2 linked regions of the Callithrix jacchus genome follow. The main gene of each other region encodes a partner of the protein of the gene in region 2 in a complex. Links are inferred from orthologs where the notes say so. Each region holds a gene or a part of one and is shown on either strand. Other genes may lie near its edges.

The links. Proteins that work in one complex are often made in the same cells at the same time.
Region 1: the proteins of WNK4 (region 2) and KLHL2 are in contact, whole or in part, in a crystal structure (PDB 4CHB), measured with the Homo sapiens proteins. The link is inferred for Callithrix jacchus from reciprocal best matches to the Homo sapiens genes WNK4 and KLHL2. Residues at the interface, in NP_115763.2 of Homo sapiens: Glu557, Pro558, Glu559, Glu560, Pro561, Glu562, Ala563, Asp564, Gln565; in NP_009177.3 of Homo sapiens: Arg345, Phe361, Gly363, Ser364, Leu365, Arg366, Thr392, Phe408, Gly410, Ser411, Thr412, Gly413, Ser438, Ser439, Tyr455, Ser487, His504, Arg534, Tyr583.

The regions. Positions count from the first base shown.
Region 1 is NC_133504.1:29,900,734-29,904,848, forward strand, and holds the start of KLHL2 (kelch-like protein 2), read right to left. Parts: upstream 2,801-4,115; coding exon 2,775-2,800; coding exon of another isoform or gene 2,446-2,774; intron 1-2,445. Other genes in the region: uncharacterized protein LOC144581672, read left to right, coding at 2,446-3,279. UniProt on the Homo sapiens protein: Substrate-specific adapter of a BCR (BTB-CUL3-RBX1) E3 ubiquitin ligase complex that mediates the ubiquitination of target proteins, such as NPTXR, WNK1, WNK3 and WNK4, leading most often to their proteasomal degradation.
Region 2 is NC_133506.1:121,104,227-121,107,726, forward strand, and holds part of WNK4 (serine/threonine-protein kinase WNK4), read right to left. Parts: intron 3,086-3,500; coding exon 2,821-3,085; intron 2,595-2,820; coding exon 2,473-2,594; intron 2,241-2,472; coding exon 2,182-2,240; intron 2,081-2,181; coding exon 1,963-2,080; intron 1,689-1,962; coding exon 1,572-1,688; intron 1-1,571. UniProt on the Homo sapiens protein: Serine/threonine-protein kinase component of the WNK4-SPAK/OSR1 kinase cascade, which acts as a key regulator of ion transport in the distal nephron and blood pressure.

The DNA of each region.
Region 1 (4,115 bases), on a different chromosome or scaffold from region 2:
AATCTACATCTAATTTTTCAGTTACACATCTTTAAGGTTTGAGCAGAAGCAAATGTAACACAGTCTCAATATCACCCAAACCCCAAAATGCAACAGAATTTAATGTCACATAGACTCAAGGTTGCAAAAAACAATAAGCAGAAATATATAGTCCAATGACACTTTTTAATTATATGAGAATTAAAAAGGATGAGAAGAAGTTGGAGGCAAGGAACAGAAAAAGCACAAGAGATCAAAAGCTAATTCCAAGGAGTCCATCCTGAAGGAAACAGGAAGGTGGGTACAGATGCCTGATATCCCTCCAAGACAATGTGCCAACAGGCCAATGGAGTACGAGGTGGGATCTGAGAGCAATGTAAATCTTGATGTTAAAAGAGAAGCATAAGCAAAAGCACCACACACAGTGTCAGGAAGAGACAGGCATTCAAATATTTGCAGATTGAATGAATTAATAAACAGACACTTACTTAACCCAAACATAATCTGGGGCCCTGCTTCCAACCACACCATCTAAGGTACTTTAAGTCCAGGTCAAACATCTTTCTTTGCCTTAAAGCTCAGGTTAAAAATCTAACTATGAAAAGCTGAGTCTTCCTAACAGTTTTCCACTGGCCTCTGTCCTAGGCCAGCTCTGGCAGTGAGGCCCAGTAAAGTTCCTTCCTAAAGACACTGCCTGCATGTCTCAAATCTAGCACACGTGATCCATGGTAGAGAGATGTTAATGGGAGTGTAGGCAAACAGGCCAAGGGGTGGCAAGGAAAAAAACGAATTCTGATCCACAGAAAGGCAAATAATGAGTTTTAGAATTAGCGTCAATCCTGGATAGAACCAAATGAAAATAAAAACCCATTTGTATTTATAATTAAATAGAACCAGTGGAAAAGTCTCACCAACTTTAACCACCCATGACTGAAAGGAGTTTTAACAATTCTTCATCCATGCTGGCATTACAGGTTTTCCATTATATCTCAGCCTCTCATTGTTCCAGCACTATTGATGGAATCTCAATACCAAAAAAATGATGCTGGTCATCAAAATTACGATTAGCTGATCTACCCTAGAGTCAGTTTATCAGTGTTTGCATGCATACATCAATTTCATGTCTTATTATTTCGATTTAAATAATCTGTATCTCTATCCCCTTCCACCAGAGCCTGCCTGCTTTTCCACATCCTTCTTTTCACCTGCATTCTAAGATCCCCTTGTTCTTTCCTTTGGTTCTCTGTTCCAAAAGTAAAAAGGAACTGCAAGAACTGATATATAGAAGGCAGGTTTACTACAGATAACATACCTACATGTTACATATTATATACCATGTGTTGTCTAAATACAGCTAGCATATCCTGCCTCAAGTGCTTCTGAGACTGGGCAGACCCCCATGTGTTCATCCTGCTGATGTTAACCATCCACCATCATATTTCCTAGGAGTTCAAGTGCCTTCCAGCCTGCTGAAGAACATGACTAAATCTCAGAGCCCTCAAAGTCAAAGCTATCGAGAGGTGGCTAAGCCCTTGCTTCTGTCAGCCGAAGAGGGCCAATCCACGAGTCTTATCATCTACCCCTACATTTCCATGACCTGTTCCACTCAAGCTAAACATTCTGAAACACACCTTTAGAAATTGTCATTCCAGAATCCCATTAGCTCTCCCAAAAGGGCTGAACATCAACAAATTATTCAACCCAAGCCAAATATTCTTATTTTGGCTGGAATTCTGCCAAATAACCACAAGAGGCTGGTGCGGTACAATTGCCATGGAGTGAATGAAGCTTGCCAAATCTAACCGGAGAACGACAAGCCTCCATGAATAAGCTCTCATGAAAAGGTACACCATTTTTCAGGATTAGGTTTGTCTCCGGTTTAAAAAGTCAGATTCAAAGGACTCTTATTCCTTCCTAAGAGAAGAGGGAACCAAAATTGAAATTTTCAAAACTCCTGGGTATTTACAGGCCACTTTTACCAAGATGTTTTTAAAACTAAAAACTAAAATTAAAGAAAAAAAAAAACCTTGTTCTGAATAATGCAATAACGTCTTCTACATGTTTCAGCTATTGTTTCTAGAAAATAATTCTGTTGCTAGTGATCTTGAATGTACTTGGGTACCAAAGAAAAAAGACACCTGTGCCTGGCAGGTCGATAGGCTACTAATTTGCCTGAGGTACTAAGGAAACAGAAGATGCTCTGATTTCTGGATAAAACGTTCTGCGTGCCAGGTAAAAGAGGTCACATGCCCTGAACGGCCACCGCTCATTTCAGAGTGATGGAAAAGCTCCTCAGATATTAATTTTGTTAGAAATTCGGGGAACCAAACAACCTAAGATCAATTCATTTAGACAGCCGGCGCCTGGTACTTTCCAGTTTCCTTTTTTCAACGGACTCCGTGCATCCTAGCTTGATCCCCTAGAAAGGGGTGGGCAAGCTGGGCACCAACTGCCCATGCATTTCAGGGAGGTACACACAGGACCGGCAGGGTCCCCCATGCACAGCCCCACCCTGAATCTTCTATCCGCCTGGCATGGGGAAGACCCTTCCCCAGAAATCCTGGGCAGCGTTTTAAGTCACCGCCTGGCGAAGCTGAGTTTCCGTCCGCGTCCGCTCAGGACTGCCGGCACCGCGCCTCGTCACGCCCCGCATCTCTCACCTCCCGCCGGCCCCGGCGGCTCCGGGCGGCCGTACCCCAAGCTGCGCCCGCGGCCGGCGACACGCGCCGCAGCGGCGCGCTTATCCGCAGGGGCACAGCCAGCCAGCCCGCCCGCCCGCCCGCCAGCTCACTCACGCGGGAGGCAGCGGCGGCGTCTCCATTGTGGCTCCTCTCTGGCTTCAGAACGCAGGCACCGACCGCCGCCACCAGCACCATTCCAGCCGCGGACGCCGGCACTGCCCGCCCGCCAAGCCGCGTTCCATCCGCCCCGGAGGGGGCGCCGCGCTCGCCTCACCGCGCGCCACCACCTGCGGCGGCGGTCCCCGCGGCCATGGCCCGCTCTGCCGGGCGCGCTCTGTCTACTGCGCGGCTCCCGCGCTCGCCCGAGTGCCGGGTGGCGGCGGCGGCGGCAGCGGCGGCGGGACGGGCGGGCGCGCGGGCTCGGCAACTTCCGGGTTCGGCCGCGGCCGGCGCTGACGCCGTGACGGGACAGCTATGCGGCCTCCCGCGGCGGCCGAGGACCCCTCCCTCGGCGCCTCCCCTTCCTCCTGCTGCTGCCGCTGCCGATTCTGCTTTTGGAGGCGGGCGGGCGTGCGGGCGCCAGCCGGGAGCGGGGCGGGCGTGCCCAGACGCGGGCTAGCAGGCCGGGACGCGGGCGGCGGCCGCCCACAGCAGGTCTGTGGATCACCGGGACGGGGGCGCTGGAAAATGGGAGCGGAGGGGGTTCTCCGTGCAGAAAAAGGGCGGCCGAACGCACGGCGTAATAACGCTCGGTATCCACTACTGCTCTGCTTCGCGGGCGTCTGTACACGTTATTCTTTTCATTTGAGCCTATACCCAGGGAGATGGGAAGGGTAGGCATAACCAAACCGGTGCCCTTACAGATGGTGGAACTGAGGCGAGAAGAAATGATTTGCCTGTCCAGTGTCCCAGGCAAGAAGCTGGCTCTCCCTCCAGTATGCTATCCATTCCTTGAACAAGTGAAATGAGCACCTGCTAGGCAAGGTTTTAGTGCTGGGGATGCGACAGCAAAACCAGGACTCTGTGGAGCTGTCCATCTAGACGGGATGACAGAAACAAGCGATGCTTGCCAACAAGAAACATGAGAATGAGGAGAGGGGAAGAGATTTTAGAAGGAGTGGTCAGTGAAGGCCTCTCAAAAGGTGTGAGTTAAACAGAGATGGAATAACGTGGGCTTTGAATAATGCAAAAATGCCCAGGGCGAAGGGAAGAGCAGCGTGGAGACTGCTAAGCAAGATCCTGCCTGCCTTGTTGAGGAACGGGAGGGAGAACAATGCAGTTGGTGGTTCTCCAGGTATGCCCGCTGGAAGCAGTAGCACCTGCGAACTTGTTAGAGCTATGAATTCTCCAGTTCCACTTTAGATCTACTGAACCAGAAACTCTGGGGGTGGGGCCCGGCAGCCTGTGCTTTAACAAGCTCTCCAGATGATGCTGGCTGGGGCCGCGAGGGTGGGA
Region 2 (3,500 bases):
CGCCATTGTACTCCAGCCTGGGTAACAAGAGCAAAACTCCGCCTCAAAAAAAAAAAAAAAAAAAAACAAAACTTTCATTTCTAACTTCCTCTCTCCTTTGGTAGCCTACAAGTTGTCCTTGATATCCCTTCTCAACTTCCTATCATATCAACTCAGCAAATATTTATTGAGCATCTACTGTGTACTAGGTACTACTGTATTACGTCAATAAGCTACTGGATTACAGAGTAACTTATTTTCCTGAAACAACCCTCAGATTCACCCTTTCTCCTCTTCCCTCCCATAAGCCACCCTCTTCTTTGTCCACATGTGGCTTCCTGGGCCTAGCTCCCAGTTATTTTCCCTTCCTCTAACCCCCTTCCACATCCCATGGCAGATGGTCTTCACAAAGCCTACTGTCACCATGTTACACTCTGCCTTTTTTTTTTGATAGAAAGTCTCACTGTGTCTCCCAGGCTGGAGTGCAGTGGTGTGATCACAGCTCACTGCAGCCTTGACCTCTCAGGCTCAAATGATCCTCCCAACTCAGCCTCCCAAGTAGTTGGGGCTACAGGCATGTGCCACCACACATGGCTAATTTTTAAAATTTTTTGTAGAGATAGGGTCTCACTATGTTTCCCAGGGTGGTCTTAAACTCCTACTTCATCCTCCCAGAGTGCTGGGATTACAGGTGTGAGCCACTGGACCCAGCCCGCTTGGCCTAACACTTAACACTGTCTATCCTGTAATCTGGGCCCATGCTACCTACCCAGCTTCACTTCCCACAGTTCTCCTATAGGAATTTTTACTTCCAATGATAGTGGTTTCCTCCCAGCCCCATATTCCAAGTCATTCTCTACTTGGAATGCCTTTGTTTATGTTTTCCCTGCATAGGGATGCCCTTTACAGCCTTTCTACCCTTCATGGCCTTTCTCGCCCATCCACCAAGATCCTAGGTAAGCCCACTGCCCCTGCTGCCCAGCCCATCCTTCCCTACAGCCACAGTATTGCACGTCTACCAAGCACTTACACATAGCACTTGTGTGCACCTGGTCAATGTGAATCTCAAATTGCTCCAGCTGAGAAGCCAAACCTCACTGGATAAACAGAAATCTCCCAAAAACAAGGGCTGAGACGTCCTCAGTATCACTGTGTTAAGTGTCAACCAGTGCTTTAAAAACCCTTGCTGTCACTGGGCATGGTGGCTCATTCCTGTTATCCCAGCACTTTGGGAGGCTGAGGTGGGTGGATCATCTGAGGTCAGGAGTTCAATTCCAGCCTGACCAACATAGTGAAACCTCGTCTCTACTGAAAAATACAAAAATTAGCTGGATGTGGTGGTGGGCACCTGTAATCCCAGCTATTCGGGAGGCTGAGGGAGGAGAATCGCTAGAACCCAGGATGCAGAGATTGCAGTGAGCCAAGATTACACTATTGCACTCCAGCCTGTGGGACACAGAGACTCCATGTCAAAAAAAAAAAAAAAAAAAAAAACCCTTGCTCTCGGATCAGTGGGTTTCAGCCCCAGCAGACATCAGGAGGGAGACTCTTGTTCCAGATCCAAACACTGTCCTCATCTCTCTCCCCCTCACCATGGCAGCTGCGATCTCTTCTGGGCTGTCCCCATCCAGATCAAATCGGAAGGTCACCATCTTGCTGTTGTGGGTCTGTAGCTGGCACTCAACCACTCTGTCATTCTGGTCTGAGACCTTCAGATTCAAAGTCAGCAGAGGGGAGGAGGTCAAGCCCTCTGTCATCATGCTGTGTCTCCACCCTACCCCAGCCAAGTGAGAGTAGCCAGACTGGACCTGGAGATAAGTAGACCCAACCCCTAAAGTCTGGTATTAAAAACTAGATTGGCTGCCTCTTGAGTACCAGTCACAAACTGCTTCTCCCCTTCTATGGTTGACCTCCCCCACATCCTGCTGATACTTCCCTCCTGGCCCCGTAGGTTATTCTCCATCTCCCGTGCCCCTTTCTTACACTAGTGACCCGCAGCCGGGATCGGGGTCTGCGCCGGAGATTCCTCCCTGGGGGTCTCCTCGTTTGTCCCATCCCTTCTCCCACATCGCTAAGTCCTGATGCTGCATCTGAGGCATAGCTGGAAAAGGGAAAGGACATAGAATGAGTGTCAGAGAAGACACTGGGACCCCAGTGACCCATGTGTCTCATCCTGGCACCCCAATTTACCCTAGAACATACCTGTCCCCAGGGGAAAAGTCACTTCCAGGGCCAGAACGTGGAATGGATAGGGCAAAAGCCTGAAACAGGATGAGGGTTCATGAGGTCAGGAAGATAACTGTTGTGATCTAGGGAGATGTTGCCAAGGATGCTGGGAAGATATTAGGGAATTAGATGGAATTAAGGAAGAGGAGGACAGGAGTGGTGGATTCCTAGGGACAGCAGGCTGGATCATGAGATTGGGTTTCTCAAGGAGGGAAGTAGGTCATAGGCTTGGAATGGCTGGGAGCCCCCCATGTGACCCCCTCTCACCGAGGGCAGGCAGAGATGGGACTCAGCTGGGCTGGATGGCACCCCCGTAGGGGGCTGAAGGGCAGGGTCTGAGGCATCCAGGAAGCCGGAGGAGCTGAGGTAGCCATCAGTCTCGCAATCCGCTGGTGAGGGAGGGAGGGGATCAAAAAAAGCGGAAATAAAAGGTAATGGGAGAAGAAGGGGCCTGCAAGGGGGGCCTGGAGCTGTGGGAGAGTTCCTTCCAGGAGGGAGCTTCATGGCTACAGGTGGAAGGCAGGGTAAGTGACTGCTGCAGGGCGTGAATTTCTGGGTTGGGGGCAGAGGCCAAGGTGTTTTGGGACCTACGTCTCAAGATCAGGAGTGACTTACAGGTGGTAGATGAGTAGCTGGCATGGCGGAAAAGGAAGGGCTGGTGCTGGTCTGCCTCTGGCTCCTCAGGCTCAGCAGGGAAGACACTGTGGGGATGGGGAGCCATGGGCACAGTTGCTGGTGGAGGTCCTGGCTCCGGTGGGAGTGTCTCCAGTTCCCTAGCTTTACGCAGCTTCTCACGCTTTCGCTGGATGGCGGCAACCCGTTCTCGTACTGCACGGGCCACTGGCTGGTAATCAGCTTCACAGACCAAGCCCAGAGCCACCTGGAGTTGGGGTGGGGGTGAGAACACAGCTTGGGTTCCCCCCTCAATGATCCATCAGATCACTTCTTGGGACCTCCAGAATATGAGAGGAAGGAAACCAACACTTCCTGTTTACCCACTATGTCTGCTAACCGGCAGCTCCTTACATTATCATCACTAGATCCAACAACCTTGTGGGATAAATCTTACTATCCTATTTTAGAGATTAATGAAGTGGCCGGTTCATAGTCATATAGTAAGTCAGTGGCTTCCAATGGGGAGAAGAGACATTTGGCAATATCGAGACATTTTTAGTTGTCACAACTGGAGGGTAAGTGTTACTGAATCTAGTGAGTAGAAGCCAGGCTTTCTTTTCAACACCCTACAATGCACAGGACAGTCCCTAAAACAAAGATGTCAACAGTGCCAAGGCCAA